4 linked regions of the Lytechinus pictus genome follow. The protein of the gene in region 3 purifies or fractionates together with the protein of the main gene of each other region. This does not show direct contact. Links are inferred from orthologs where the notes say so. Each region holds a gene or a part of one and is shown on either strand. Other genes may lie near its edges.

Evidence for each region.
Region 1: the proteins of peptidyl-prolyl cis-trans isomerase E-like (region 3) and RNA helicase aquarius-like purify together in Homo sapiens (affinity purification with mass spectrometry; 5 studies listed by BioGRID and IntAct, counting the BioPlex papers as one, with this or other methods). This does not show direct contact. The link is inferred for Lytechinus pictus from reciprocal best matches to the Homo sapiens genes PPIE and AQR.
Region 2: the proteins of peptidyl-prolyl cis-trans isomerase E-like (region 3) and crooked neck-like protein 1 purify together in Homo sapiens (affinity purification with mass spectrometry; 3 studies listed by BioGRID and IntAct, counting the BioPlex papers as one, with this or other methods). This does not show direct contact. The link is inferred for Lytechinus pictus from reciprocal best matches to the Homo sapiens genes PPIE and CRNKL1.
Region 4: the proteins of peptidyl-prolyl cis-trans isomerase E-like (region 3) and ATP-dependent RNA helicase DHX8-like purify together in Homo sapiens (affinity purification with mass spectrometry; 3 studies listed by BioGRID and IntAct, counting the BioPlex papers as one, with this or other methods). This does not show direct contact. The link is inferred for Lytechinus pictus from reciprocal best matches to the Homo sapiens genes PPIE and DHX8.

Annotation. Positions count from the first base shown.
Region 1 is NC_087251.1:14,776,832-14,784,377, forward strand, and holds the start of RNA helicase aquarius-like, read right to left. Parts: upstream 3,024-7,546; 5' UTR 3,022-3,023; coding exon 2,890-3,021; intron 2,306-2,889; coding exon 2,265-2,305; intron 1,398-2,264; coding exon 1,316-1,397; intron 1-1,315.
Region 2 is NC_087251.1:43,100,305-43,107,559, reverse strand, and holds the start of crooked neck-like protein 1, read left to right. Parts: upstream 1-4,235; 5' UTR 4,236-4,371; coding exon 4,372-4,413; intron 4,414-7,255. Other genes in the region: cilia- and flagella-associated protein 61-like, read right to left, coding at 1,198-1,274, 1,892-2,042, 2,775-2,920. UniProt on the Homo sapiens protein: Involved in pre-mRNA splicing process. As a component of the minor spliceosome, involved in the splicing of U12-type introns in pre-mRNAs.
Region 3 is NC_087261.1:25,313,721-25,321,161, reverse strand, and holds the start of peptidyl-prolyl cis-trans isomerase E-like, read right to left. Parts: upstream 3,017-7,441; 5' UTR 2,759-3,016; coding exon 2,722-2,758; intron 665-2,721; coding exon 522-664; intron 1-521. UniProt on the Homo sapiens protein: Involved in pre-mRNA splicing as component of the spliceosome. Combines RNA-binding and PPIase activities.
Region 4 is NC_087257.1:18,521,882-18,529,332, reverse strand, and holds the start of ATP-dependent RNA helicase DHX8-like, read left to right. Parts: upstream 1-4,441; 5' UTR 4,442-4,668; intron 4,669-7,451.

The sequences.
Region 1 (7,546 bases), on a different chromosome or scaffold from region 3:
AACGTTGTCCCACGGATGGGAGTTTTGGGTAGCAAAACACATTAAGAAACAACATTTGATAGTAACTGACAGCTGTCTAAACCATCAAAAAAAATTCTGATAGATTAAATGCACATTAGAGAGAATTCATGAATTGTCATTGACTAAATATACACTTCAGGCAACACAGTAGATTTTTTAAATAATTTATAAAAGAATGCATTCAACATGAAAATACCTTTAATTGGCCAGAGAGGGAAGGGGCTGCAGTAGTGGTAAACATGGTAAATGAGCTTTATATGTGGACTGTTTAAAGTCTCTGAGGGATTCCTGTGAAAATTGTCACACAGTCCCATTCCGCTTGAAAATTATCTTTATACTTCAAAACGTATTTTGTCGTCTTGGTCTTGGATGACTCCATCTCCATGATCTCCATGGTCACTGGCGATGCGATTGTAGTGTGGATAAATCGGGGCGGGGCGTGCTTCGCACAGCTCAGCCAGCCAGCACCAAGCTAGCTCACTCACGAAAGAGAAAATGTTCGTATCCGATCAACCCAAGTGAAAGTAGGCGAAAAAATCTCCACTTTGCTTCTGGTTCTTTAGGATTGTCAATAAAATTTTTCCTGAAACTGAAAGTCGGGGTGTAAAAGTAATCCACTTGTTAATCCCATCGTTGATCCACAGTTTCAGCTCGAATAAAGCGCACACAAGCTTACGAAAAATGCCTCTCAGTGCTCGTGAACTTCCCTTATCGTAGCTTCCTGGCGCAGCGCGGCCAGCTGGAGCCGCACCGGGGCGCATCGGGGGCCATGTGCATGGAGTACCGCTGAAGTGTTTTCATCACACACATTGCAGAACCCGGAAATAAAATGGCTTGTTAGAATACTTCACCAGTCGTTCAGTAAAATTATCTTCATTTACATTGGAAATCAATGTACGATTATACAAAAACTGGTAAAAGTTACTGGGTAAAATGAAAATGTGATAAGGAGGTTCCATGTGGGTGTTAGGGAGTTGAACATGCTAGACTCGTAAAACAGTCTTTTGTATGAATTTCGCAATTTAACAGCTAAAAATCCTGATTATCCAGGAGATTTTGGCATGAGGTCGGGAGAACGGGAGATTGGATCGCAATCCAGTATTCTCCCGCAGGATCCGGGAGACTTGGAAGCTCTGTAGTATGTACAACAATTCATTTTAGAGTTTTAATAAACCATTATTTGTGTAGAAAGGCCTTTAACGTATATTTGACACATCTCGGCAAGTAAAAAAAAATTCACACAGCATACTATTATTGTAAAAACAAGTTTTCATTTCCATCAATTGTGTCTTACCTTTTCAGAGTCATAGTTTGGCCATAAGTAGTTTTCAAGATATTGGCTGAACTCGAGCACCATGATACGACGCGCAGCAAACCTGCATGTAAACAAATGTTTAAACCATTAGAATTGTGCAAAGAAAATTGAGGGGGTACAAATAAATTGAGCATTCTACATCACACAGGTGACAACTTGTTTTTTATTGATCACACCTTTATAATTTTCTTATCATCTTCTAATTATTTTTATGTATATTCAATCAAACTCAGACGTCTCTTTAACACAACCAATACATGAGTAAGGTAAACCTTAAACACTACTTTTTTCACATCATTTGTTTTAAATGAGATTCAATTAAATTCATTTTATTTATTACATATATTGCAATTTCAAAACATATAACATTAAACACAGGTGGCAATTCAAGAAACTTGAGCGTTTTGAAGGTTCTCTCATACTGAAACAAAATAACATAACAAATAAAAAATACAAATTATACAAAGAACAAAATGATAGTAGACTAAGAAACAAATTAAAATTTAAAAAAATAACATGTACAAGAAACAGAAAGTGCATATATTAACAGAATAGGCAAGAAATTTTGAATATGCATTTTATAGTCAGTGTCAAAGGAATTACAGTTTTTATTTCAGTGCTTGGACAAGTGAAGTGGTAATTGGTTAAGACTTTTAACAATACTGAAAATAACAAAGATAATCAAAATTTTAATGGAACATTTTTTTCCAATTTGGGGCATTACAAGAAACTTTTAAATTGCAATCAATTGCAAGTGAAATCAGAAAAAAATCCATTTAAAATCTCAAAATCTATTATAAATCATGCAATCATTTACAATTATGTAATTGACTGCTTGTCTCCTTCATCCCTAAAATGCTATCATATCGCTTGTATCGCATTCTATTAACCTTTTAACAAAATTCCCTTAGTGTCATTTTGATCTTACTTGTTCTTCAAGAGTTCTTTCTTGTAAACATCTTCAATCACCTAGTGAATAAAAGAAAAGAATACATACATCTTGACATTTAAAATCAGAAGCATTTTCTTAAACATTTTGAAGGGTTTTCAAAGATATTCATTTTGCGAGAAGGGTTTGAAATTATTACAATATGAATGGAAAATTACAAAAATGGCATAAAAAGACTGTCCATACTGTCATTTATTTTACGTGAATAAAATAATCTTCAAGCACAAATAATATCTGAATCATTTAAGTATGAATACTCTTGCTGCTTTCAACTTATAAACAAACAGAACACCAATGATAGTCATTATGAGTTCATTTATTTACCTCTGTTTCTTCTCCTTTGTATGAATGTCCACTTCTTATAGGTAGGAATAATAGATTTCACTTGTTGTCTTCAGTTTACATCTCTTTATTAAAATCCAGTACCTTAATTTAGTTTATAATCTCAGGGAATGGGTGGTAAGAACCAATAAAATGTATCATACATCATTCCTGATTCATACACATTCTGGTACAATGGATTATTTTTATCAAAACAAAATGAAGAAGAGTTCTGCACAGCAATCATCTACTATTTTGGATTTATTTATCTCCATATGCCTACCTTTGGATCATAGGCCAAGTGTGGTGTAGGACTATTTGGAGCCCAAAATCGACTGCCAAGCTGTGTCAAAAAGTCTGCATTAAGCTGCTCCACTGTAGGAGCATAACTCTTCCTTTTCTGACTGCCACTCATCTGTAAAATACAATCAATACAGAAAAATAGGTAAAAAGTGAGTACATAAATTGTTTTTAATAACATTTAATATTGTTGGCAATTCTAGCCCATTATTCAAACCTTTAGTTTCATTCCACTAACCTCATTTTCCCCTCATTTTCAAAAATATTTTAAATGTTAGACACACAAGCCTTCATAAATTATATTGCCTGTTCTATACACACAAAAAAAAAGTCCCCCCTAAATCAAAATGCTATAACTTTTGAACAGAATAATTTTTGAGATATAATATTTCGTAGGTGGTTTTTAACACTCACTAAGCAACTCCTGGGGGAAAATGAGATTGATCGGTTGGGTCATACACGAGTAATCAAAGATTGAATTAAAAATGACAATTTTTTAAAGTCACAAGAGTCGTTTTTCAGATAGTGTTAATACAAAGTTGGGCAAAGGTTGTTTTTTGTGAATTTTATGGTGTTAACGTTGTTTTACTATCCATCATTTAGCCACTCCACACAAAATTTTGATAATGTATGTTCATGGTTGAGTGAGCACATTTTTTTTTCTCATAGGGGTTTATGGTAGTATCCTATGTAACTTGTTAAAACATGTTAAAATTGGAAAATGTAAGTGGCTCCCCTCCCCCAATTTCTCGGCACCTCCCCACTTTCAACTTCTGGATCCACCACTGATTGGTCTATAAATTCAAATGATCCTGAGAAATTGTTAGGAAAAGAATACATTTATGCAGTAAAAAGAGTATTAATTCCTAAGTTTTTGAGTGTGCTCGCTCAACCATGACAGTGTAAAATGTTCGGAAAGTGTGTGGTGATAAAAACAACACAAATTAAGTTACATTTGAAACCGAATTTGCCCCCATTATTCACTTTATAACCCCTCAAAATGTGTATGTGACATTAAAATAATGTCGCACCAACGCATAATGTCACAGATTGCGACTTTATGCCAAGAGCGTCCGACGCATGTCGCAGTCAACGCATAATGTCGTAGTTTTTCTAACGCATAACGTCACATGTCGCAACGCATAATGTCGCAGCAAAGTGTCAACGCATAATGTCACATGTCGCAACGCATAATGTCGCAGCGGTTTTTGCTTCAGGACCGTCGAGTTACAGATAAGATATAAAATATGATTTAACTCAGTATATTATTCAAATACTTTCATCTGAATATTTTGAAAAGTGTGTGCGAGGGTGTGTGAGTCAGTGTGGTGGAGGAATAAACAGTATATATACATGTATATATACAGTGCGTCCCACAAAAAACGAAACCGAGATTTATCATAACTTAATCACAAATACAATAGACAAATGACCTACCATTGTAAAGCTTAGAATCTCCTCTTTCATCTGGAATTACTTAGATTATTTCTCATTCACAAATGAGTGAGCAAAAACAATTTGAAGAGGGGATACCTAAAAGTCATTTGGCGGGCTGTATCTGGGTTTCAAAACGAAAACCCCATTTTTAAAAAGTTCAATATCTGCTCTTTAATTTGATACCTCTATTACAGAAAATGGTCAAGAAATAACAAAGTTCTGGTTATTTGAAATAAGGCTTGAATTTCAATAATTTCATAAAATGAAGAGGTTTTACAGGCTAGCGTTCAAACTCACTCGACACTCCGTTTTGTTGACGATCAGCCATGCATTAAGTCTTTTGTTAACCATGCGATAGCTTCTGTGGGGAAACCGGTGAAAACACGTTTATCTAATGAAATTATGGAAATACAAGCATAGTTTCGAGGGAACATAACTTTTTTACTTCTCGACCAACCAAAAAATTACTTTTTTTCTTTCCAGGGCTCTTTTTGGAGAAACTTAAAAATTTTCCAGGGCTACTTTTTTATTTTCCAGGGCTCTTTTTCCACTTTCCAGGGCTACAATTTCTGGAGCTATTTCGCGGCTTTTTTGCGTTTGTGTGTGTGTGTGTGTCTGTGTGTGTGTGTGTGTGTGTGTCACATTGAAGGGATGCTGGTCAGCAGTGCAGGGCTGCTCTGCTGCAGGCTCTGCTTTAACAAGATGTACTGTACATGCGGTGCGTTCAACGCTAGCGGGCGTGTATATTTTGCTTATTACATGACGTCATCCAGCCACTGCCGAGAGCCAATTTATGAATGAAAATATAGTAAGCATGCGCAGTGCAAGCCTTCCATAGCCCCACACAGTATTCCACCAAAACAAGTGTACAATACTCTATCACCTCGCACCAAAATCGACCTAGAATTTCACTTTCCTATAATTTATATGAATTATGAAAGGTATTCTCGGAGGATCTATTTTCTCACCGATACCGAACAGGTAAGCGAATTTCGATTACTTCTTGATTTTCGGTCAAAATCTTACGAATTAGCGTTGATATAGCATCGTGGAGTTTGTAGAGTCTATCGCAACGTGTACAAAGTCAATTGATTTCCGGGTTTCGGATCCGGAGCGTCGCGTGAATATGCATGAAATTGCCGAGTCTCGATAATTTTCGATCGATACTGGAGCGATCCGATCACGAACCAAGACCATTTCCCGCGTAGACAATGTGACCGGATATCGTTATCGCTATCGATACTTTCGCACGCAGTCCGAAGGAATTATTTTGGCGACCACGTAGTCATGACGTGATCTGCGCGATTGGCCAATCAGCGGTCTCCGATTCGCTGAGCCGAGACGGTCTATTCGTTGTACACAGTCTATGGACAATTTGCCACTGTGAAATATACAGTGTTGACGGGGGCGATTATGAGTTTTGCAGTCGCCCTCGTGTGAATGTTTTTAGTCCTTTTCTGGGGCTCTTTTTGGACTTTCCGGGGCGAATTCGCCCGCCGCCCCCGTGTAATTTTTTGGTTGTTCTCGACCATTTTTTGTGATAAAGGTATCAAATAAAAGAGCAGATATTGAACTTTTTTAGGCATGTGAATTTCTTTTTGAAATTCAGATACCCCCCGCCAAATGACTTTTTGGTATCCTTTCTTCAAATTGTTTTTGCTCACTCATGCGTAAATGAGGAATAATCAAAGTAATATCAGATGAAAAAGGAGATTGTCACTTGGTCTAATTCACATTGCCACTTCCCCCCATCCATTTTAAGGAGGGGGCGAAAAAGTATTTTAAAAAACAGAATGAGAAAATAAGACGAATGACTACGAACAAAGTATTAAAAAAATACATGATTTGATGGCTTTGTCACTTTTGGAATCCCCCAAACACCTTGGCCTCATTCCTCAAATATTTCATATCCTATAACAACATCAGTCTTGGACCTGAACCCTATCTACCCCCCCCCCCCCCCCCGAGCCTTTTTTTTTTTTTTATATCAAGGAGTTTGAAAATAGCAAAGAAGCAAGAAAAAAAAACAGAAGCAAAACAAAACAATACAAACCCCCTTCCAACCCAATGGCATGTGTCCCCCTACCCTCTACCCCTCACCATAACCCCCCCCCTCCCATGCCCTTCGTTGTCACAACTCTCCGTTCTACTCGTGTGGGGGAGGAAGTAACTTGTTCCTTCCTTCTATGAATGGTAAGAATGAAAAAATATATATATATATGTACATATATATATTTATGAAATATACTCTTATACCTTATAGCATTCATTAAAAAAAATTATTATTGTTATTATTATAAACAAATATCATTTATTTCATTTATTTTTTATTCTTATTTTATTTTTGCACTTATTTATCAATTATTTATTATTTTTTCTTTATTTATTAATTTATTTATTTCATTAATAAATTAATTAATTTATTTATTTTTTATTATTTTTCTTGCACAGTAGATTTATCAGACAGGCCTTTTCAGTCACTTTTATACCCATTTTGTTCCAAAAGCACGCAATCTAAATGTTTGCGCTCACTTTGCTCGCTCGCAAGTTCACTAAATATTTAGCGAGGAACACATTTCCCATTATTTCTGAGCATTCATCAGAAGGAAATACATAAATAATCGAGATATGCTTGAAAGGATTATATTTTACTTCTCAAAACATAATGAATCTTTATATTTGGGGTGCCCCCCAAACCCCAATTAAAGCCCTATTGGTATCACACTACCACATCCACGTGCGTACTCATTATGGAACCGGATTTACGTCACTGAGAAATGATTGCACAAGTACTCAAAGGAATTCGAAGATGGAGGCGGTCAAAGCTTTTTGCTCATAGTGACGATACGTAACATATTTTCTTCAGACTAATCATCCCTCAAAAGGTAAGAGTTTGTAAACTATTCTTATTGTGAATCTTTGTTACATTCAATACTGAATTCTTGCACTGTCATTCTTCTGTCATGTTGAATTTGCTCTTCTATATCACCTACACACAGTTTCTTTTTAGTCCAGGCCTTTGCACTAGACCTAGTATTGGATTAACGAAGATATCCCAGGGGGGCATTGCCATTACACCAATGACAGCATGCTTTGTACGACCTGTCCATATAGTAATAATGACACTAGAGGGCGTACTCTTACGATTGATGTTGGGAAAGTCAATGGGAGGTGCCATGGCTGGGTCTAACCCACACGGCGAA
Region 2 (7,255 bases), on a different chromosome or scaffold from region 3:
TTGTTAAAGTGAGAGCAGACTGAAATACCGCTGTAAATGTGGCCCCTCATTGAGTTTGTGTCTCAAAATTTACCTTTTCAAAAACCTAGAAATAATAGAGATTAAATCAGCCTGGAATTTCACTTGTAAAGAGAAACAAAATGTTTTGACGGAAATGTATTTATTTGGCTACTTGGTAACAATGCAACAGTGTCTTGTTGCATAAAAAGTTACTATTATGGTACCATTCAATGGGAACTTTGCTGAAATCCTTGATTTTGATTGGCTGTTGATCAGCGTCATCATGGTAATTACCATTGGATGGTAACTTTCATGCAACGGGACCCAGGTAGTGAATGTAATAGTGCGTTATTATTCAAGTGAGACGATATCAGAAGACTAAGCTTCTCAGAATGTTGCAGTGTGGGTAAACTTTAAAGCATTGATTTGAGTAGTTGAGGACTTGATGTGGCGCTATACAAGCATGCTGGTTTGAACTGGCTTTAATATAATAATATAATTTTGCATTGCTAAGAATGGAATATACTGTATATATGTATTTTTTTCTTTTGAAAAGATAGGTAGTAAACCTATGGCAGCTGTGTTTAATGGCTTTGCTGAAAAAAATGAAACTTTACGAATAACAGGGTTTCATTATACATCTATCCTCAATAATAATGATGATAATAATAATAATAGGCATTTAAATAGCGCCAGCTATCTACAAATAATCTGTTCCGGGGTGCATTATGTATAATTATTATTACCCCCAGCTTTAGCTTGAGCTGCCTTTCAGCGCTCAGTACATTCAAGGTATTGATTCTACTGGGTGCCCAGTCACCTCACCTGGGTTGAGTGCAGCACAATGAGGGCAAATTTCTTGCTGAAAGAAAACACACCTTGATTGGGATTCGAACCCACGTCCCTCAGATTGAAAGACGAGATTCGTAACCACTAGAGTACCACGCCCCCACATCTTCCATTCTTTCACTACAGCTCCTTGATTTACATGCATTCTTCATTAAATGATAGAAGGATGTATTAGGTAATGTATCAGAAAAAAATCAAAGTGAAAAGAATACTGATATATATCACAACTCTTTAAAGGTGAAACATATGTCCACATAATTTGGAAAATGCTAGGTTAAACAAGTTAAAGTATCCTCAATAACAGGTATTTTACAAGAGAGGCTAAATGCTTTAAAATGATGAACTTACCTAATGATCTCTTTAGCACTCCCATGGGCAAATGCAGGTTTGGCCACAAAGTAATGTAGAAACAGTGTGTTCAAGGGCTGTGAACAAAATAACACACACACTTCCCTAATGAAGTATCATCATGTCTTGCAGATAACTGGACATATTTCACATTTAACTTTATTATAAAAAAAAAGGATTATTGGCAAATGACTCGAAACATAATGCTTCTGTTAACCACTGGCACTTGGACATTTCACGAATATGATCATCAATTCAAAGCACATACACATTTCAGACACATTCCCAATATATATATCTAATATATAAATGGTTTCATTTCTTTGAGAAAGATCTGGATATCCATCATTCACATCATCATCAATACATGTATATAACTGTAAGCACACATAAACCAAATAGTGAAGAATTTTTTTTGTGAGATAAATTTGCTTGAAGTAGGCACTGGTATAATGAGATAAAACAGATGCTTAATGAACCATTCTACATCAGGCAATTTTGTTTTATTTTGGGGGCTACTTTTTTTAATGAATTTCTAATTCTGCAACCTTGGATTAGCTTTATTATTGCAATGAATGGAGATTTCCAAGGCTCTTTTCTGAGTTTCTAGGCCTCTTTTGAGCTTTTTGGTGGCAAAATCGCCTCAAGCCCCCGTGTAATTTTCTCCATTTTACACCACGTATGATGAACTTACTGTGCATGCTTCTGTATCATAGTATGTATTGAGCCATTGTTGCCATTCCCCGTGATCTACAGAATCCACGTTAGGATAGTCAAAGAACGCAGCATGGGCAAGGATGTCTTCTCTTTCATTGTTGAGGGTCACTGCCAGGACTGCTTTTTCACTGTATGTGAAGCAAAAATGTAATGTGAAACAAGAATGTAAGTAAATAAAGTATAATTCCTGTCTGACATCTTCACAAAATAATGAAATATGTGAATGCAAGTTGTGTTCAGAAATTCAAATGTATACAAGATTTCATTCATTTTGTTCCATTTTCTCTCAGATTATTCCCATTCTTTTCAAGGCCATGAAATTTTACACCATATTTTATAATTTCTTTTATTTTAATGGACTTCAGGTACTGGTACATGTACAAGATAACACATTCAAAGCTTGGTCTGTTGAAGACTATTATGGAGCAATAGATCAATGAGCTCAATGATCGGATATTTTACTGTACATATAATAGGTAGTAGTAAACAGATAATTGTCTTTCTGTAGAATTCTTTATCAACATTGACATTCTCAGACTTTCCCCATCAAGGCTATCAGTTTCAATATTGATATTGATTCCCAAGAAAAGCCATGACTGATGATATTTCTTAGTTATTGTGTGTGGCTTCTAATAAAACCCAATGCATTGTAATAAAGCTTTATTCCTTGTAGCACTTTGAGTGTCAGCACCTTGGAAGAAAGTAAACAAACATGTAAACCTACCGATCGAAACTGAATGAACAAAATAAAAAAATCACTGAATTTATTTAACATGATACAATGTGATAGCACTATACAAAAACATACATCATCATTGTTATTATTTTTATTATTACATTCATAAATGTGAAATGCTTACATGATATTCACAACATCCACCAATCCGAACTGTGGCTGAGTTGATTTGGTAACCAGCTTCAGGATATTTGGAGCATCAAGTGATTCTGTTCGTCTAGCATTGATCACTTCGGTCGGTCCATCTGCTGACTGGACAACAGTAGCCATTTTTACTTTTTCCTGCAAGACTAAAGAGATTCAGATTGATTACCAGGTGATAGCTGTGTAGGCCTATTCTATGTGTCACTGAGAAAGGAACATAAGTCTTAGAAATAATTCTAGTCTATTATGAGAATGAGGAAACCCATCGTTATTTTTAGTGAACACACGTTGTCCACAGCTTCAAGAATTTACTAACAAAAAAAGTTAAATATTAGAGATACGAACGAGTGAAATTAAACTTCGATGCTGACCCACCGAAACAGGGCATGATCACGCCAACCAAGTCAAAGAACATAATTTGGATCTGAATAAATATAACATCGACTCCGACATGAGCTGCTTACGTACTGGATCATGATGGATGCTACTTCAGGCGATAGTTCGTATATAGGCTCCACTACGCTTCACTAGCTACTGCTACCCTCCGCTATATTACCTGAAGGTTCAGGTACATGTAACTGTTAGGTGTAGCGGAGGGTAGCGGTAGTGAAGACTGAAGTGCAACTTAGTGGAGCCTACACGAACCATCGCCCGAGGTAGATCTAGACAGTTGACGGTTGACGGCTGACGGATGCCAATGTTTTTTGCCAATATTGGCCAAATTGGGGGATTTTTTTTTTTTGAAAAGAACTTTCTCAACATTAAAGTTTAACTGATGATAATTTCATGATTTTGAACCTCCCCTCCCGGCTCCCCTGCCCCGCCCCCAGTCGCTCTTCTTGACCGGTTTAAGGGATCTTAACTTGGTTGAGCTCTGCGGCCTTCTCAAGTTAGGTCCTTGGCCTGGGTGGGAGTCGCACGATCACGACACTCCAATGGCATAGACAGTCCAGACACCAGCAGCGGCGGGAAGCAAGCACACGCGCGGTCACGGGCCCCGACTGGCACTCTCTGAGACTGTCGACGCGACGTCCACGGTCGGTTAATTCAAACATTCCATTCTTTCACAAGGTTTTTATTCACATTTATTAATATTCAAAATCACGCATACACAAACAGAAATCAATACACAAGGACATTATATTGAATTCATTATATGAAATAACATACACACCCTTATTCTTAACTTCTACAAAATTGTGTTCGATCCGTGAAAAAAAATTAAAGGGTGAGATCTAGCATATTTTTAGCGGCGGTAGCTCTATGGCAACAAAACTCTTAATTATGTGACTAAAAAAATACAACTACATATTTAAAAAATAATAAAATCTTGTACAAAAAATTAAATTTATCTTTTTTAATATTTTTATGGCTACGATTTAGAGGTTATGAATGCATGTAAGAGTTATGAATATTTTAATACCTTTTTAGTTTTTTATTTACTCGAACAAGCCATATTTCAAAGCGCCATCTCCGTCTAACTGCTTTTTGTAGATTCGCTTCCGAGGAAAAAAAACTGAAAAAACTTGAAACTAATCGACGATTTTCATGGTCTTGACGCTCATACTATCATAAACATGGCTTCTTCTAGCAAAAGTAAAGTTCCCAAAGTTGCGAAGGTAAGTTTCCTTTAAATTGCTTCATTCAATAATAACTAAATAATTGATTGCAATTTCTCCAAAAAATATAACACGCTATGAATGTGAACAAAGATCAGTTGTTATTCCGGTCAGGATAAAGTTAGGGTAAACTCGTATCGTCATTGATGTTTTTCTTTAATTTACATGTAACGTTAGAGTAAAGTGGCCAACAACAAAAAATAATTGAATCAAATAAAAATCGTGTTTATTTCCTTAGTATAAATGTTGAATATTTCCATTAAAAAATAAAAATGCAAATTGAAAAAATGATGATGGTTAACAGAATTGCATAATTATTTAGGATGGGGTAGCCAGGCGGCTTCAAAGTTAGAGAGTAAAAATCATTTACTAACGTAAGGTCACTCTCGTACGAAGCCAGGCCTTCTATCCCATAGACCCACACAATGGAAGCCAAAACCTGAAACTTTCACCCCCGAGATTTCTACTTTCCTTCTAAAAGATCTAGCCTTCTAGGCCTAGCTCTAATTCTAAATCATGTATGATGGGGGGACCTAAAAGCTACGCACTTTGTTTTCAAACAATAAAAACTATCCCAATTTTAATATTTCAACAAATATCTTTCACTAATTTGTGGCAAACATTCTAAAGATCATTAACCAAGAAGAAAATATCGCAAAACTCACTAATACGAAAATCCCGCCGTGTTTTCCGAACCGGTATTTTATAGATGGCAAATATAGCGATCTTCAACGCTTATATATAAGCGTCGAAATTTGTAGCCATCTCCTTGTATTAGTCTATATTATACGACGTGTCAAATTGTAGCGAACTAGTTCGCTATTTCCAGATCTCCTCTATATATATATACACGACGGGAAATTGTAGCGTGTAGCGAACTAGTTCGCTATTTTCCAGATCTCCTGTATATACATACGATGGGAAATTGTAGCGAACTAGTTCGCTATTTTCCAGATCTCCTCTATATATATATACACGACGGGAAATTGTAGCGAACTAGTTCGCTATTTTCCAGATCTCCTATATATACATACGATGGGAAATTGTAGCGAACTAGTTCGCTATTTTCCAGATCTCCTCTTAACGACGGGAAATTGTAGCGAACTAGTTCGCTATTTTCCAGATCTCCTCTATATACATACGATGGGAAATTGTAGCGAACTAGTTCGCTATTTTCCAATTCTCCTCTATGTATACGATGGGAAATTGTAGCGAACTAGTTCGCTATTTTCCAGATCTCCTCTATATATATATACACGACGGGAAATTGTAGCGAACTAGTTCGCTATTTTCCAGATCTCCTGTATATACATACGATGGGAAATTGTAGCGAACTAGTTCGCTATTTTCCAGATCTCCTCTTAACGACGGGAAATTGTAGCGAACTAGTTCGCTATTTTCCAGATCTCCTCTATATACATACGATGGGAAATTGTAGCGAACTAGTTCGCTATTTTCCAGATCTCCTCTATATACATACGACGGGAAATTGTAGCGAACTAGTTCGCTACAATTTCCCGTCGTGTATATATATATAGAGGAGATCTGGAAAATAGCGAACTAGTTCGCTACAATTTCCCATCGTATACATAGAGGAGAATTGGAAAATAGCGAACTAGTTCGCTACAATTTCCCATCGTATGTATATAGAGGAGATCTGGAAAATAGCGAACTAGTTCGCTACAATTTCCCGTCGTTAAGAGGAGATCTGGAAAATAGCGAACTAGTTCGCTACAATTTCCCATCGTATGTATATATAGGAGATCTGGAAAATAGCGAACTAGTTCGCTACAATTTCCCGTCGTGTATATATATATACAGGAGATCTGGAAAATAGCGAACTAGTTCGCTACAATTTCCCATCGTATGTATATACAGGAGATCTGGAAAATAGCGAACTAGTTCGCTACAATTTCCCGTCGTGTATATATATATATAGAGGAGATCTGGAAATAGCGAACTAGTTCGCTACAATTTCCCGTCGTATGTATATAGAGGAGATCTGGAAAATAGCGAACTAGTTCGCTACAATTTCCCGTCGTGTATATATATATAGAGGAGATCTGGAAATAGCGAACTAGTTCGCTACAATTTGACACGTCGTATAATATAGACTAATACAAGGAGATGGCTACAAATTTCGACGCTTATATATAAGCGTTTAAGATCGCTATATTTGCCATCTTATAATTTCCCTTTCCGAACACCTTGATTTCGCCACCCGATGTAGAAGGGGTCCTAAAGCTACGCACTCGATTTATCATGCAAAAAAATAGTATTTCCTGTGCCTCAATTTCTAGAATATATTCATAATATTTTAGGATAAAATGAAATTTAAGTGAATATAACTCTAAAATTCCAAAAAGTTTTTGGTTTTCTCTGCATTTAGAGATTTACTGCAGCCTCTGTAGAAGAAAATGAATAGGAATCGTTCGTCACACTGCAGTCACAGTTCCACACACAGAGTGCGCATTTGCCATTAAAAACTGCATGCGCGATTAGTGGTGCATAGCTTTAGGACCCGCGTAGCTTTAGGACCCCCTACCATACATTGGATAAAACTTCATTTCCGACATTTCTACACTCTCGTTGTTATTTTTAAAACAAGAATTCATCAAAAAAATGAAAAAATATTGTGAAAAGACGGAAGAGACTTGCCCGATGTTTACGCCGCCATCTTGTTTCTTATTGTACTTCCCCAACGTTACGCGACGCTCGCGTCCGTAACGTTGGGGAAGTACAAATTTTACTGCACACAGCAAAATTTTTTGCCCTTTTCACCGCATTCACAACACCCAAAAATGGTCATGGTTTTGAGAGAAAAATCAAAGTTCAACGCATT
Region 3 (7,441 bases):
ATCTTTCATTGCTAGGTTGAATACTAGTGCCGACGGGTTAAATACTAGTGCCAAACACCATCGCCGTATAATTCGATCGCCCGCGCACACAGTCGACGGGTTGAAGAAAAAAATAACGGAAAAAGAATAACGGAAAAAGAATAACCAGCATTTGCTCTTGAAAATAAGACGGGTCTGAAATTCAGGTAAATTTTATATTTCTATATATTTGAGGAAACTCTCCAAACGGGTTGAATACTAGTGCCCTTACGGTACTGGTAATTCTTTAAAAATACACACATCCGTCTCTGAATCACTTTAAGCTGATCTAACCCTACAAATGTACGGTACACTTGGTTCAAATTCCTCAGTTTACCAATACATAATTCTGATTAAAAAGCGATGTGGTTATTGTTCGTTTTGGGCCTATTTCACGCCATAGTAGTCTCATCAGTGGTGAGACGCTTGGTGGTGAGAACTCAAAGGTAGAGAAACTGTTACATGTAGGTAATTAAATAAAAGAATAAATACAGGAGCTTTACCTCTGCAAACTCAAACTCTACAAAAGCAAAACCTCTGTGCTTTTCAGTCTCATAGTCAAGGGGGATTTGTATGTCCATGATATCGCCAAAAGGAATGAAGGCTGCATGAAGCGTCTTCTCTGTTACCTCTTCTGCCAATCCTCCTAGAATCCGAAGAAATGATAGTTGATACATGATTAACAAATTGCTATGGGTTTGGAATGTAGCCTTATCACAACTAATAATAATATTAATAATATAGGATTTCATTTGTATAGCGCACGTATCCACCTTGCTAGGTGCTCAAGGCGCTCCTATATTACCCCGGCTAAGCTAGTCTACCAATTCTGGTGCGCACGGCTTTTTGAGGAATTACTTCCTGCCGGTACCCATTTACCTCACCTGGGTCGAGTGCAGCAGTGTGGATTTAATTTCTTGCTGAATATCAGATAGAGTTCACGGTCTCGAAGTTCGGGTAGGTGGACCGTAGTGTAGTGGTAGTGAAGTGGAGTGGAGCCTGCACGAACTTAGCTCGAGGTACATGGGCGTTAGATTGTGCTGTTGCCGTGTTGGGCATGTGCACAAATAGTCATGCGTGAATTTGCCCCAAGTGTTCTTGCATATTATATTTTGAGTGGTTCGTTTAGCGGTATCTTAACATTTTCTGGCAGCCGAGACCGAGTTGATGGTCTATCAATGTGACATGTTTCCATGGCTCCTCCGAGAGGCTCAACACAGTCCCAGGGTAGCGAGCATGGTGAGGGACCATTTCTTCTGTGTATTTTTTTGGCACATAACCACAATCTAGTTTGCTATTTTTCCAGAAGTTATAGGGAATTTGTGTAACTTTTAAGTAATTTTTATTATGTTTTAGCCTTGAAGATCATTTTTAATTTATGTGTTTTTAAATGAAGAATTAAGAGCTTTCTAAATTTTGTGGTCCTTGCTAAAAAAATCTTGACAAACTCACTCATTCAATTAACAAGGTTATGATATAACCTTGTTCTCAGTTACATCTCCATGTTGTGTGGCAAAAATAAGGTAGTGCCACTAGTGGCAATTTTGGATTATTTTCTCTTTTTCTATGGGACAAATGCTTGTTTTTTTTACACTGTCAGTTTCCAATACAGCTATTCATCATATAACTTGGCTCTTATGTAAATTTGATTCTTTAAATCATTTTTTCTTAATCAAAAATAGAGATTGAAAAATGAAAAATTTCTTGCCATGTTAGTTACTTTCCACCAATAGAGGGCTTACACAAAAATATGCTCAAAATTCAAGTTTTTGAGCACTCTGGTGAAAAAAAACAATTATTCCCACGTTACTAATGAAAAATAAATTGCAACTGTATGAAAATTAGTAATTTTGGTCACAAAAGTGATATTTTAATGATTTTTTTAAGTATGTGCTATGTACAGCATTGGCATACCATAGACTAGTTCTACCCACTTGTTCACTGCAACCACCCTGCCTGTGGGGAATCTACAGGTTGGACTATGGCATGCCAATGCTGTACAGAGCACACACTTTAAAAAATGATTAAAATTTCACTTTTGTGACCAAAATTACTAATTTCCATACAGTTGCAATTTCTTTTTCATTTGTAACTTGGGAATAATTTGTATTCACTAGAGCGCTCAAAAACTTGAATTTGGGGCATATTTTTGTGCACGCCCTCTATTGGTGGAAAATAATAATATGGCAAGAAAATTTTCATTTTTTAATCTCTATTTTTAATTAAGAAAAAAATAATTTTAAGAATCAAATTTACTTAAGGGCCAAGTTGTATGACGAATAGGTGCAATGGAAACTGTCGGTGTAAAAAAAATCAAGCATTTGTCCCAAAGAAAAAGAGAAAATAAGCCAAACATTGCCATCCTTATTTTGCCACACACATGACATGGAGATATAACTGACAACCACTAGGTTATATCATAACCTTGTTCATTGAATGAGTGGTTCTACCTGTAGATTCCCCACACTCCACAGGCAGGATGGTTGCAGTGAGCCAGTGAGCAAGTGGACAAACTCAAGTTTTTTTCAGGACAAGCAAACACACAAACCATCATATGGGACTACGTCTACGAATTAGTACACACGTATTTATTCTCAATTATATATTGCCATTTCATTTTCATAAGTAATGAAATAAATGAAAAAATATAGACGTCCCTTCGATCAATAGCAAAAATCATTGGGAAATGGATTAGAAACTCACCAACGTAAGCGATTCTCTTGGTATTTGTTGACGACATGACTGATTACGCTTCGTATCTCGCTCGATTGACTAGTAAACTACGGTAGGCACTTATGATCCAAGTTTGAAAGGAGACTCGTAAAATGACGTCAGTCTCGCCGATGAATATTCATTAGATCGTGGTCGTGCGTGTTCAATACACACTGCGTGCAGGCATGCAGATACTAGTAGTTATATGCGAGGAACTTTGGCTCCAGAGACAAGTTGTCAAATAACGTGTGTGTGTGTGCGTGTGTGTACCATCGGCTGGTAGTATGCCATGCTGTCTAAGACTTCAAACGCGTCGGAGAGAGTGCATGGCAATTCGGTAAAACGAAGTTTCCGATATAAAGAGATAATAAAATAACACTATGTACAGTACGCCCGGGGGGGCCACTTACATTGACGAGTGGATACCATGCGCGACCAAAAAAAACACGTAAAAAGGATGTATTTTTCAAGAGAGGGCACGTTACGTACGTAACGTGATAAGGGTGTCAAAAACACAAAAATATTGAAAAAAGGGTATCTATTTCCAGTACGTTGAGAGGCAAATGTCAGACTCAGATCAGGGGAGGCAGGAGTACAATCAGGTTTTTTTAAAGGGAAGAATAGTGTAGAATAAAAGGTATTATATATAGCCAAATGATCTAGGTGAGGGAAGTGAACAATGATGTTTTTTTAAAAAAAGAATGAATATACCTTACCTGAATATTATGGTGAAGCCAATTTAAAAGGAGGTGAGACAAGTTTCAATGGAGGTTTTAAAAAAGAATAAACTGTATTATGGTGAAGCCAATTTAAAAGGAGGTGAGGCAAGTTTTAATGGAGGTTTTTAAAAAGAATAAACTGTATTATGGTGAAGCCAATTTAAAAGGAGGTGAGGCAAGTTTCAATGGAGGTTTTTAAAAAGAATAAACTGTACTACAAATTATGGTGAAGCCAATTTAAAAGGAGGTGAGGCAAGTTTCAATTGAGGTTTTTAAAAAGAATAAACTGTACTACAAATTTAAAAGGAGGCGAGGCAAGTTTCAATGGAGGTTTTTAAAAAAGAATAAACTGTACTACAAATTATGGTGAAGCCAATTCAAAAGGAGGTGAGGCAAGCCTCAATGGAGGTTTTTGAAAAGAATAAACTGTATTATGGTGAAGCCAATTTAAAAGGAGGTGAGGCAAGTTTTAATGGAGGTTTTTAAAAAGAATAAACTGTATTATGGTGAAGCCAATTTAAAAGGAGGTGAGGCAAGTTTCAATGGAGGTTTTTAAAAAGAATAAACTGTACTACAAATTATGGTGAAGCCAATTTAAAAGGAGGTGAGGCAAGCCTCAATGGAGGTTTTTGAAAAGAATAAACTGTATTATGGTGAAGCCAATTTAAAAGGAGGTGAGGCAAGTTTCAATTGAGGTTTTTTAAAAGAATAAACTGTACTACAAATTTGAAAGGAGGTGAGGCAAGTTTCAATGGAGGTTTTTAAAAAGAATAAACTGTATTACAAGTTATGGTGAAGCCAATTTAAAAGGAGGTGAGGCAAGTTTCAATGGAGGTTTAAAAAGAAATAAACTGTACTACAAATTTAAAAGGAGGTGAGGCAAGTTTCAATGGAGGTTTATAAATAGAATAAACTGTACTACAAATTATGGTGAAGCCAATTTAAAAGGAGGTGAGGCAAGTTTCAATGGAGGTTTTTAAAAAGAATAAACTGTATTACAAGTTATGGTGAAGGCAATTTAAAAGGAGGCGAGGCAAGTCCGTTTTTAAAAAGAATAAACTACTACAAATTATGGTGAAGCCAATTTAAAAGGAGGTGAGGCAAGTTTTAATGGAGATTTTTAAAAAGAATAAACTGTACTACAAATTTGAAAGGAGGTGAGGCAAGTTTCAATGGAGGTTTTTAAAAAGAATAAACTGTACTACAAATTATGGTGAAGCCAATTTAAAAGGAGGTGAGGCAAGCCTCAATGGAGGTATTTAAAAAGAATAAACTGTATTATGGTGAAGCCAATTTAAAAGGAGGTGAGGCAAGTTTCAATGGAGGTTTTAAAAAAAGAATTAACTGTACTACAAATTATGGTGAAGCCAATTTAAAAGGAGGTGAGGCATACATATGTAATGTCTTTCAAGCTGTATGACAAAAATATTCTTTTCCATCCAACATCAGCTTCTACTATTTTTTAAGGTTAGTTTTTATTGTCATGTTGGCAAATTGTGAAATAGTTCATGTTGAAATTACCTGTCATGCATTTGTAATGTTATTTTTTTAGAATATATTCTGTCATCATTTTCAGTACATAAAAGTTTATTCAATGTATGCCTTTACCAAAGTTGGCCATAAGCACAGTGGGTACCAACTATCACTGAAGACAACACAACAATTACTCAAAATATATGCATAGCCTTATGAATGTACAAGTCAATAAAATCTACTATGACTACATAGCTTTTTTTTGTGCAACACAGTCATATTTCATTTGGATCAATTCAAAATTGAGTGGTGTTTTGGGGGTAATGATATGGTAACTGCAGTTCTGTTGTCCTCTGACAGTTGGTGTTGTAAGGATGTGATTGGCAGTGTGTGGACGTCATGTTATAAGAGAAAAAAGTTAAAGTGAGAGTGTTGGCTTTGAAATGGACTCAACCTATGAAAGTTAAAGTTTGTGCTGCAGAAACTGGTGTGGTAGTAGGATGATAATGATGATGAGGAACAGGGCCGGTATTCAATGCTACTCTTAAAGCCACAATTTCAAGTATATTTTACTCAGTATTTTGCAAAAGTAAAATACTTATCCATCTTTGGTATTCAATTGCATTTTTTTTGGGCTAAATATTTTGCTTAAATGTAAGTCAGCCATCTACTAGACTTAAGTCTACATATACAAAAATGATACGCACAGAAATACATTCACACATTTGGCACTATTTGGCTCAAAATTTATAACATCACAATGGGTATTAGTATTTAGTTCAATTTGGATAAGGTAAATTCTGAGATCTGATCTGCATACAAGTTTAAGCATTTTGATAAGCCAGCCAAATTGCTAAGTAAAATACTTACAAAATAAAAACTTAGAATTTAATAGGCGGCCGAGGTATTATTTTCTTCCAGAGGACATGTACAGATTTCTTGTTGACAAAGGATGACATGATGATTATTTTGCAAATATGGCTTATTAAAAAATATATTATGTATATTCCATTTCAGTGACAATTGCATTTTTGGGGAGGGGATATTACGTATTTGGGAATGGAAAAGTTCAAAATTAATGCAAACTTAACCTATTTACGCAGGGGGGGGGGGGGGGCTCTGAGCTCTGCGATTTAAAAAAAAAAGTCTTTTGCATGTTTTGAGACCAGTTTTGCGAAGCCCGGGTACTGGGTTCTGAAAATTACCAAACAATTTGTAAGTGCATATCAGACAAAAATGGCTCAAAATTGTGATATTTGTGTACCACGTCAATGGAATATGCGTTTTCAACCAAAATTCATGAATGCCTAATTGTTTTTAGTTTTGTTGAACTAAACTGATTTATTTTATGCTGTTACGAGAGTCCGAGCATCGTTGAAAAATAACAATGCAATACAAAGGTAAAAACACAAGAAATACATTATCGAAGAACACCACAAAGAGTTTCTAAACCAAAAATTAGAACATTTGGAGCTTTATTTAGGGAGTTAGAGGAATAGGTATAGTATACTAATTATGCACAAATGAGCATAATCAATTAATAGCAATTTGCATGAAATAAATAACTACACAATTTTGTGGATTATTAAAAGCAATTGCGAACTTTCTCTTCACTATTCATTGTTTTTAGAAACCTCATTGAAAACTTGCCTCATGCACCTCTCAAGATGGCTTCATCATTTGAATTATATTCTACACTTATCATTCTTTAAAAAAAATCATTGTAGACATATGCCTCACCTCCTCTCAAATTGCCTTCACCATAACTTGTAATACAGTTTATTCTTTTTAAAAACCTCCATTAACTAATTACCTCACCTCCTTTTAAATTGGCTTCACCATAATTTGTAATACAGTTTATTCTTTTTAAAAACCTCTATTGAAACTTGCGTCGCCTCCTTTTAAATTTGTAGTACAGTTTATTCTTTTTTAAAAACCTCCATTGAAACTTGCCTCACCTCTTTTTAAACTGGCTTCACCATAATACAGTTTATTCTTTTTAAAAACCTCCATTAAAACTTGCCTCACCTCCTTTTAAATTGGCTTCACCATAATACAGTTTATTCTTTTTAAAAACCTCCATTAAAACTTGCCTCACCTCCTTTTAAATTGGCTTCACCATAATTTGTAGTACAGTTTATTCTTTTTTAAAAACCTCCATTGAAACTTGCCTCGCCTCCTTTTAAATTTGTAGTACAGTTTATTCTTTTTAAAAACCTCAATTGAAACTTGCCTCACCTCCTTTTAAATTGGCTTCACCATAATTTGTAGTACAGTTTATTCTTTTTAAAAACCGCCATTGAAACTTGCCTCACCTCCTTTTAAATTGGCTTCACCATAATACAGTTTATTCTTTTTAAAAACCTCCATTAAAACTTGCCTCACCTCCTTTTAAATTGGCTTCACCATAATACAGTTTATTCTTTTTTTAAACCTCCATTGAAACTTGTCTCACCTCCTTTTAAATTGGCTTCACCATAATATTCAGGTAAGGTATATTCATTCTTTTTTTTTAAAAC
Region 4 (7,451 bases), on a different chromosome or scaffold from region 3:
AAATAAATTAAAATTGCATAACTCACCTAAAATAAATGATACAATATGAAACGCAAAAGCGGGACCTCTGATCTTTGATTTAACAATAAAACCAGCATGCACGGATCATCAGTAGCATTCTTGATTGCTATCTCAGACATACACCATATACACTCCGTGGATATTCATCGTGTGACGTCACGAAAATAATACAGTTGCATCCACGGGTCCACGGAAGAACAATAAAGTGTTCAGTAATATATATTGACGTGGATAAAATTTGAAACAATACGGCAGACGCTTTTCCCTCCACCCCTCTCGTCTCTCGTACCTTCTATCGCATACAGGAGGTATGAACTCTCCAATAGAGTTTAGATTTCGATGATGCTACGTCGGGCAAACGTATTCCTTTGAAAATACATATTAAACATTGAAGATTCAAAGTGGACCAACTACTAAACTTATAGATTTTAGTTGGACAGTAACCTGCTTGGGCCTTGTATACTTATGATTTATTCCACAACTGAAATGAAACATGTTCATAAGTATTTTTTATTGAAGTCCCGGTAACATAAAGATATACCATTATTGCACACTTCATACAGCGTTTCTAATTGGTTGTTAATGTTTATATTGACCGATAGTTGCATAATATAGTGCATTGATCTCGATTGACTAGAGTACTTTCCCGAATTCATTGCACCCTTCTTCTTTCCATGAACTGCCTATACATTGCTATATGTCAGTGTCTTCTTTAAACCAGCATGTGTCTTGGGCCAAGATTTAGGTTTATATTTATCTGTTTATAATCCAGACATGTTGCCAAATATATTGACAAGGTCGCACCCATCATGCCCATGACTTGCAATGGGTTCAATTGAGGAGGCCTATCCAGGAACAGACTTTATATATAGTTCATTGTATACGGATCATAATTAGCGTTGTTGAATACTAGTAATTATATGGCTTATATAGGGAGATGCTGCAACTAAACGACAAACCAGCTGCAGGGGGAAAGGTTATTGGTTTTTTTTTTAATGAATGGTATAAAAAAAGATTTAAAATCATATCGCAGCGATAAACCCGTTCCAGATTGGCTATTGACTACCGGGCCGCTCCTCTGATGTGCTTATAAAACGAAAAAGATAAGAAAAGAAGAAGATGATAATGAAATAATAGCTTTCTAATACGCGTTGTATGCGGTATCAAAGCTCACAAGAGTTGTCTTAAAACTATTTTCATTTATAATTCCATACCAACTTCTTGGTCTATTGATTTCATAAATGATCATGATGATATACAATACCAACGTAAAAAATACATATAATAGGTACATTATCAGAAAATGATCGAAAGGTTTTTTTTTGCAAGTACGTTGAATGTCATGCAGAAAGTGATTTTGCAGGGGGGGGATTTTATTATTCATATTTTTTTGTTGCTGGGACTCATTACAATTCCAATAATTCATCTTATCTTATTAATTTACAATTCAATATAGTTTTATGTATTTTAACGCATAGCTTCCTTTAATAGAGACTGATTATTTGTTCTCAATGCTTTTTTTAACGAGACGACATAAGTCACATGTCGCTGAAAAGTAAAAACATAAAAGAGAGCAAGTTAAACGCAAATTTTAAGTTCCATTAAAAGGATGTAAAATAATAGTTTTCGTTTCATTATCTCTTCTTCTTTTTATTATCACAGGTAATATCATGAAAGGTCGCCGGCCACTCCTCCCTACAGCACACCCCCTGAATTTCATTGTAAATTACTTTGGCAAAGTCATTTACTGAAAGCACCCAAATTTGGGCGTGGCCCATCGGTGCACCCCCACTCCCCTTATTAATCTTGCTATGCTATTGGATGCTATAAATCAAATTATAAGTACAAAAAGTTCGGGAGACGAAATCTTATCTTGATGTAATTAAAGGTTGTGCCTCGAATAAATCGGCCAGTTATAATGAGATAGGGGAATTGCTTATTTCTCCCCCCAGTCTTTCCTTCCGCCTTCGTTTGGATGATTGATCAGAATTCGAATTAAATATTTCAGCCCATAGGGGCATGGCGACGGCGACTGGGGGAAAAGCATTCTTCTACCCTTGAAAATATTGATACGACTTGGTTTCCGCTAATTGCGGTTTTTATGTGAGTTTAATCATTTTCTCCTAAATCCATCGTTAAATAATTATAGCTACAATCCTTTGAAGGATAATGTGCAGGCCCCTATTCATAATAATTTGGGATTTCATTTCCTCAGGTAACTGAATAAAGCCCATCAGATAAAATATGATATGAATGTAGTTATGAGCATGTCGGGAGATCGAATATTTGTAATGTACATTTTAGAAAGAGAGAAAAAGGGAAGGAAGAATGAATATAAAATATAAGATGAGAAAACTGAGTTGTACCACTTAAGAAAGTGGAGCGTCGTGGCCCAGTGGGTTGGTCTTCTGACTTTGAAACAGATGGTCGTGGGTTCGAATCCCAGCCATGGCGTAATTTCCTTCAGCAAGAAATTCATCCACATTGTCCTGCACTCAACCCAGGTGAGGTGAATGGGTACATGGCAGGAATTTATTCCTTGAAATGCGTGTGCGCTGTAATCTTAGTAATTACGGCTGCCAAGCTACAGCTGGGGTAATAATACCCAAGTCCTTTGGAAGCGCATTGAGACATTATTCATAATGTGATATGCGCTATACAAGAACTGTATATTATTATTATTATTATTAGAAAGATATTACGTTCAATTTAGCCCCCCCCCCCCAGAAAGTCCTGGCGCCCCTTCATGTGTTCCAAGAACTTTAGAGTCAGTGGCGTACCTAGGATTTTTCACAGGGGGGCAAAACCGTCCGCCAAAAAATTTGACAAGCCAAGCCAAAAAAAAAAAAAAAAAAAAAAAAAGGTCTTCAATCACAAATGAAAAAAAAAAATTGACGAGCAAAAAAAAAAAAAAAAAAAAAAAGAAAAAGGTCTTCAATCACAAATGAAGGATTTCGTACCAGAAAAAAAAATTTGACAAGCAAAAAAAAAAAAAAAAAAAAAAGGTCTTCAATCCCAAATGAAGGATTTCGTACCAGAAAAAAATTTGACAAGCAAAAAAAAAAAAAAAAGAAGGTCTTCAAGCTCGTTAGGGGGGCCAATAAAGGTCTTCAAGTTCGTCAGGGGGGGCAAAAAAGGTCTTTCAAGCTCGTCAGGGGGGCGGTGATACGTCCTTTGCATGGGTTGTGGCTCGTCAGGGGGGCAGACTGCCCCCTCTGCCCCCCCCCCCCGTAGGTACGCTAGTGTTTAGAGTAAAAAGTTGTTCTAGTAGTTGGTCCTTAACAATCAAACATATACCGATTCATGCAAATAAGATATAATTTAACAAAATCACACAATTTTGTGACACTTTTTTTTACTCCAAAATTGGTTTGGCTAATCGATAAAAGGTAATTACTTATAAATCGGATCTTTAAAGATTTCGCGTCAAAATGTCGCGTTGTTGTTGCTTCTTTGGTTGTGTGTGTGTGTGTTTTTTGTTTGTTTGTTTTTTCTTTCTCTCTCCTTCTTTTCCTTCTTATGCATTGTTTTAGGGAGACGGGGGAGGGTGAAGTGTGGATGAGTGTGTGTTTTCTTTGTGTGTTTCTTTTTTGATGTAATGGTATTGTAAAGGGGGAATCTAGTCTAACTTGAGATTTTCTATAGATTATGAGTATGTCAGTGTTTTATAATTACATTCAGAGAGAATCTAGAACATGTAAAATATTTTATTGCATTACTATTCAATTCGTGATTATAAATTGTTAAATAAATATGTACAGATTGATTTTAAGTCTACTTGTGGAATAATCAATTTAAATTGTTTATGTATAGATTTTGATGCAGCTATGTTAATGATTTCATGTTATTCATTATTTTCACATATAGAAAATGTGGAAGAAGTGAAATATGACTTTAAACATGTTAAACAGAATAGGGGCTAGGTGTAAAAAGTTTCGTGGATACGTGATTTCCTGTTTTCAAAATTAAAAAAGGGGATTTTTTGGGGTTCACCTTGTAATCCATTTTCTTATTTTTTATTATCCTAAGTTAATCTTCCGCGTAAAAGACACAAATCGTACAATGTAAATACAAAACTTGAATAATCAAACAATTTATAAGTCATTATTGGTTAGGGAGTGGGTGTTCGATGATTTACATGCGCCGCCGTTGCCCCCCCCCCCCCCACCCGTTGTTGTTTAGGGGGCAAGTGCCCCTCATAAGAAAAAAAAAAAGAGATCTAAAATTAAACTTTTTTTTTTTTTTGAGGGGGTGAAATGGGATTTACTTTATTATGTTACGTACATCTTCTTCGAGCATAATCGAGCTATGTAATCCCTTGTCTACCTTTGTTATCCAAATGGGGGCTTGCCAAAATTTTTCAATCAAATCATATTTTATGGACGAAACATAATGAGGAAGTCTGTACTAGTGAGCAACCATATGAGAGCGAACTAGTCGGGCCGAATTTTAGTGCAGAAGAATTGCGTCCACACGACTTTTTCGTGTATTAAAAATCGACGATTTGATAACGCCGAAGACAAAGTGTTGAGAGTTGGAGAAGTATCCTCTTATCAAGTTTTCATTTCAATTTATCCACAAGCTTTTATCGTTCCAAGTACGTTTCTTCATCAAGAAATAGACCTTCATCATGAGGACATAATTCCGGTGAGTAATGTTTTATGGTTCAGTCAATGTAGTGCTAACAAAAATCTTAAGACTGCACTGTTATCCACCGGGCCTCCCTGCCAGCTGTGCCCCATCGCGACGGGGACAGTGCGGGTCGGCACGCGATCGCGATGGCGCCCCTGCCTTCAACTTAAGTTGGAGCTGGACAGAGGTCAGAGCTCTGTTTCCGAGCTTGGCATTTTCGATTGTTTCACTGAGTTGAATGAGTGAGTGATGTGATGTAACACCGAGAGTGAATTTGTATGTCAGTACATGAATTTGGCATTATCGTGATCCAAGTCCCCGCCCCCGGTGACTCGGATCCACGGACAATTATTTTTCACAATGTAAAACTAAAAGTAAAACATGTCCTAAAACGGGCCATATACTCCTAACTAGTAACTAAATTATGCCTTGACTGCGTCGGTGCATGGCCAGGGGTTGGTGTGCGTAGCCAGGAGGCTCCTAGAGAGTAAAAATCATTTACTAATGACGTCCCAGTGCATGCAGTGGGGGGTAGACAGGAATAACCGTCGTTTCTGGGGATTTATTCAACAATTTCTGACATTTTACTGTAATCCCCATTTACCGACGGTAGGGTGTACGTGTGGGCTCGCATGTGTTCTCATTCCCTCCCTTTTGTCAATTCACAGTCCAAAGTTTGATGTAATTTTACACATCGAATTTACAATCTAAAGATGTATAAACAACAAACTTTTAATTCATGATATTACAACATTTAAATACTTTAAACGATATAGATGAAAAAGGCATGAAAAATATACTTTACCGATGTTTAATTGGGTTGAACACGATAAAAATGGTCAAAATGGCAGCCAAACTATAAAATATTTACAAACGAACGTCAACAATCACGAATGTGATATCGATATTGCTTTCGATATTATACGATCTGCTCCATAAGCGAACGAAACCGAAGATAAACGATACTAGTTATACTAGTACTAGTACTAGTTATAATCGCGATATATCGATTCGAGACATTAAGTTAATAACGATAATGACATCATTCAAGATGGCAACTTGCAAGAAAAACCGTCAGGTCAGGTGAAAATGTCTTAGATGACAGATTTCTCAATCATCCAGAGGATTTTTTCAATAACTCCGGCCCAAGGTATGCAATTACTTAAGTTATTTATATTTCCCTGATAATGGAAACCATGAAACTTTAAATTTTGCTTAAAAAACAGTTTTAAATTGCGATCTATAAAACGCTAGTTCACTATACGTTGGCTGTAGGTACGGGGCCCCATCCCCTTCAGTCTATGTATGGTGAGTGGAGCCAACGTAGTTCAGCGGAACAATCAAAATACAGAGACTGAAGCTTTTGGTCTAAGTGGGGGGGTACTCGACCTAAAAGTGGTAGGTATGCATGTGCAGCAGGCGAGACAAAAAACGGGGGCTCTGGAGCGGGCTTGTCCTCGGAATGGGCTTCGGAACTACAAATGTTTGTGAAAACGGGGATCCTTGGAACGGGTCAACTGCATGTGAGTGCGTATGCATCCCTATGGAACGGGCATATGTCCATGCAGCTAGCCCGGCGGCGCGGCACGGGGCTCGCGCAGAGCTAGAGGCGATGGAACAGCGCTCTGCGGCTGCTTTTCACCAAAATTGCAGCTCATTGTAGCGGATCAATGCGGCCGTAACAGCGTAACGAAAAATATGCGAAGCTTTGGAGCTGATTTCTTCTTTTTTTTCGATAAGAAGAAAATACTATGCTTTGGAGCGGCTTTCTATGCTCTTTTTCTCAATAAGATAAAAATGCTATGCCTTGGAACGGAAATTTGAGTGTAAAAATGGGGGTCCCTCCGCGGCACATACCCATATCGCATTATATACTGAGTGCCCCCCTCCCCCCGGGAATAACTTACTGTACGCTTACTCTCCACGGAGCCAGGAATTCCATCCCATTCATGTCCATATATAGACAGCTGGCAGCCGTCTGTTTCGAGGAGCTTTTTAAACACGTCTTATTTCTCCTTGTAGACAGACGGCTCGCTATTGCGCAGCTGCCATTAGGGGGTAAACAATGCAAACTCCCCCCGACGGGGCTCATAGGTTTTTTTTCTTTATTTCATAAAAATATATAAAAAGAAATGGGCCAAAATAAAGATTATTATTCCTTTTTGGCCTGAAATGCACCAAAACGGGAAAAAACAGTGATTTTGGCTGTCGCGCAACTCCCATGGCCAGGTGGGTGTTTCATAAAGCTGTTCGTAAAGTTACGAATGACTTTACGCACGACTGGAACATGTTCTTAGGTCATTTATTACATAAAGATATCACATGGCATAAGAAAGGATCACCAGTCGCGCGTAAAGTCTTTCGTATCTTACAAACAGCTTTATGAAATACCCACCTGATTTATCCGAAATTAATACATAAACATATGGCCATTGAGTCCCTGTACAGATCGAGTTAGAACTTCGGTCTCTGTAATTGGTGAGTGGAGCCAACGGAGTTCAGCTGAACAACCAATAAAACGGAGAACGAAGCTTTTGGTCTAGTCCGTGTACCACCAAAAATCCTGAAACTTTCGCCCCGATTTCTACTTTCCTTCTAAAAGATCTAGCCCTAAATCATGTAAATGGGATACAACTTAATTTCTGACATTTCTACGCTATCGATTTCATTTTTAAACAAGAATTCATTGTTCTTCGCCAATGTTACGGACGCATGCGTCGGTAACGTTGGCGCATGAATATTCATGAGTATTCCAAAAGATCGAGATCTCATAAATGAATATGCAAATGACGAAACTT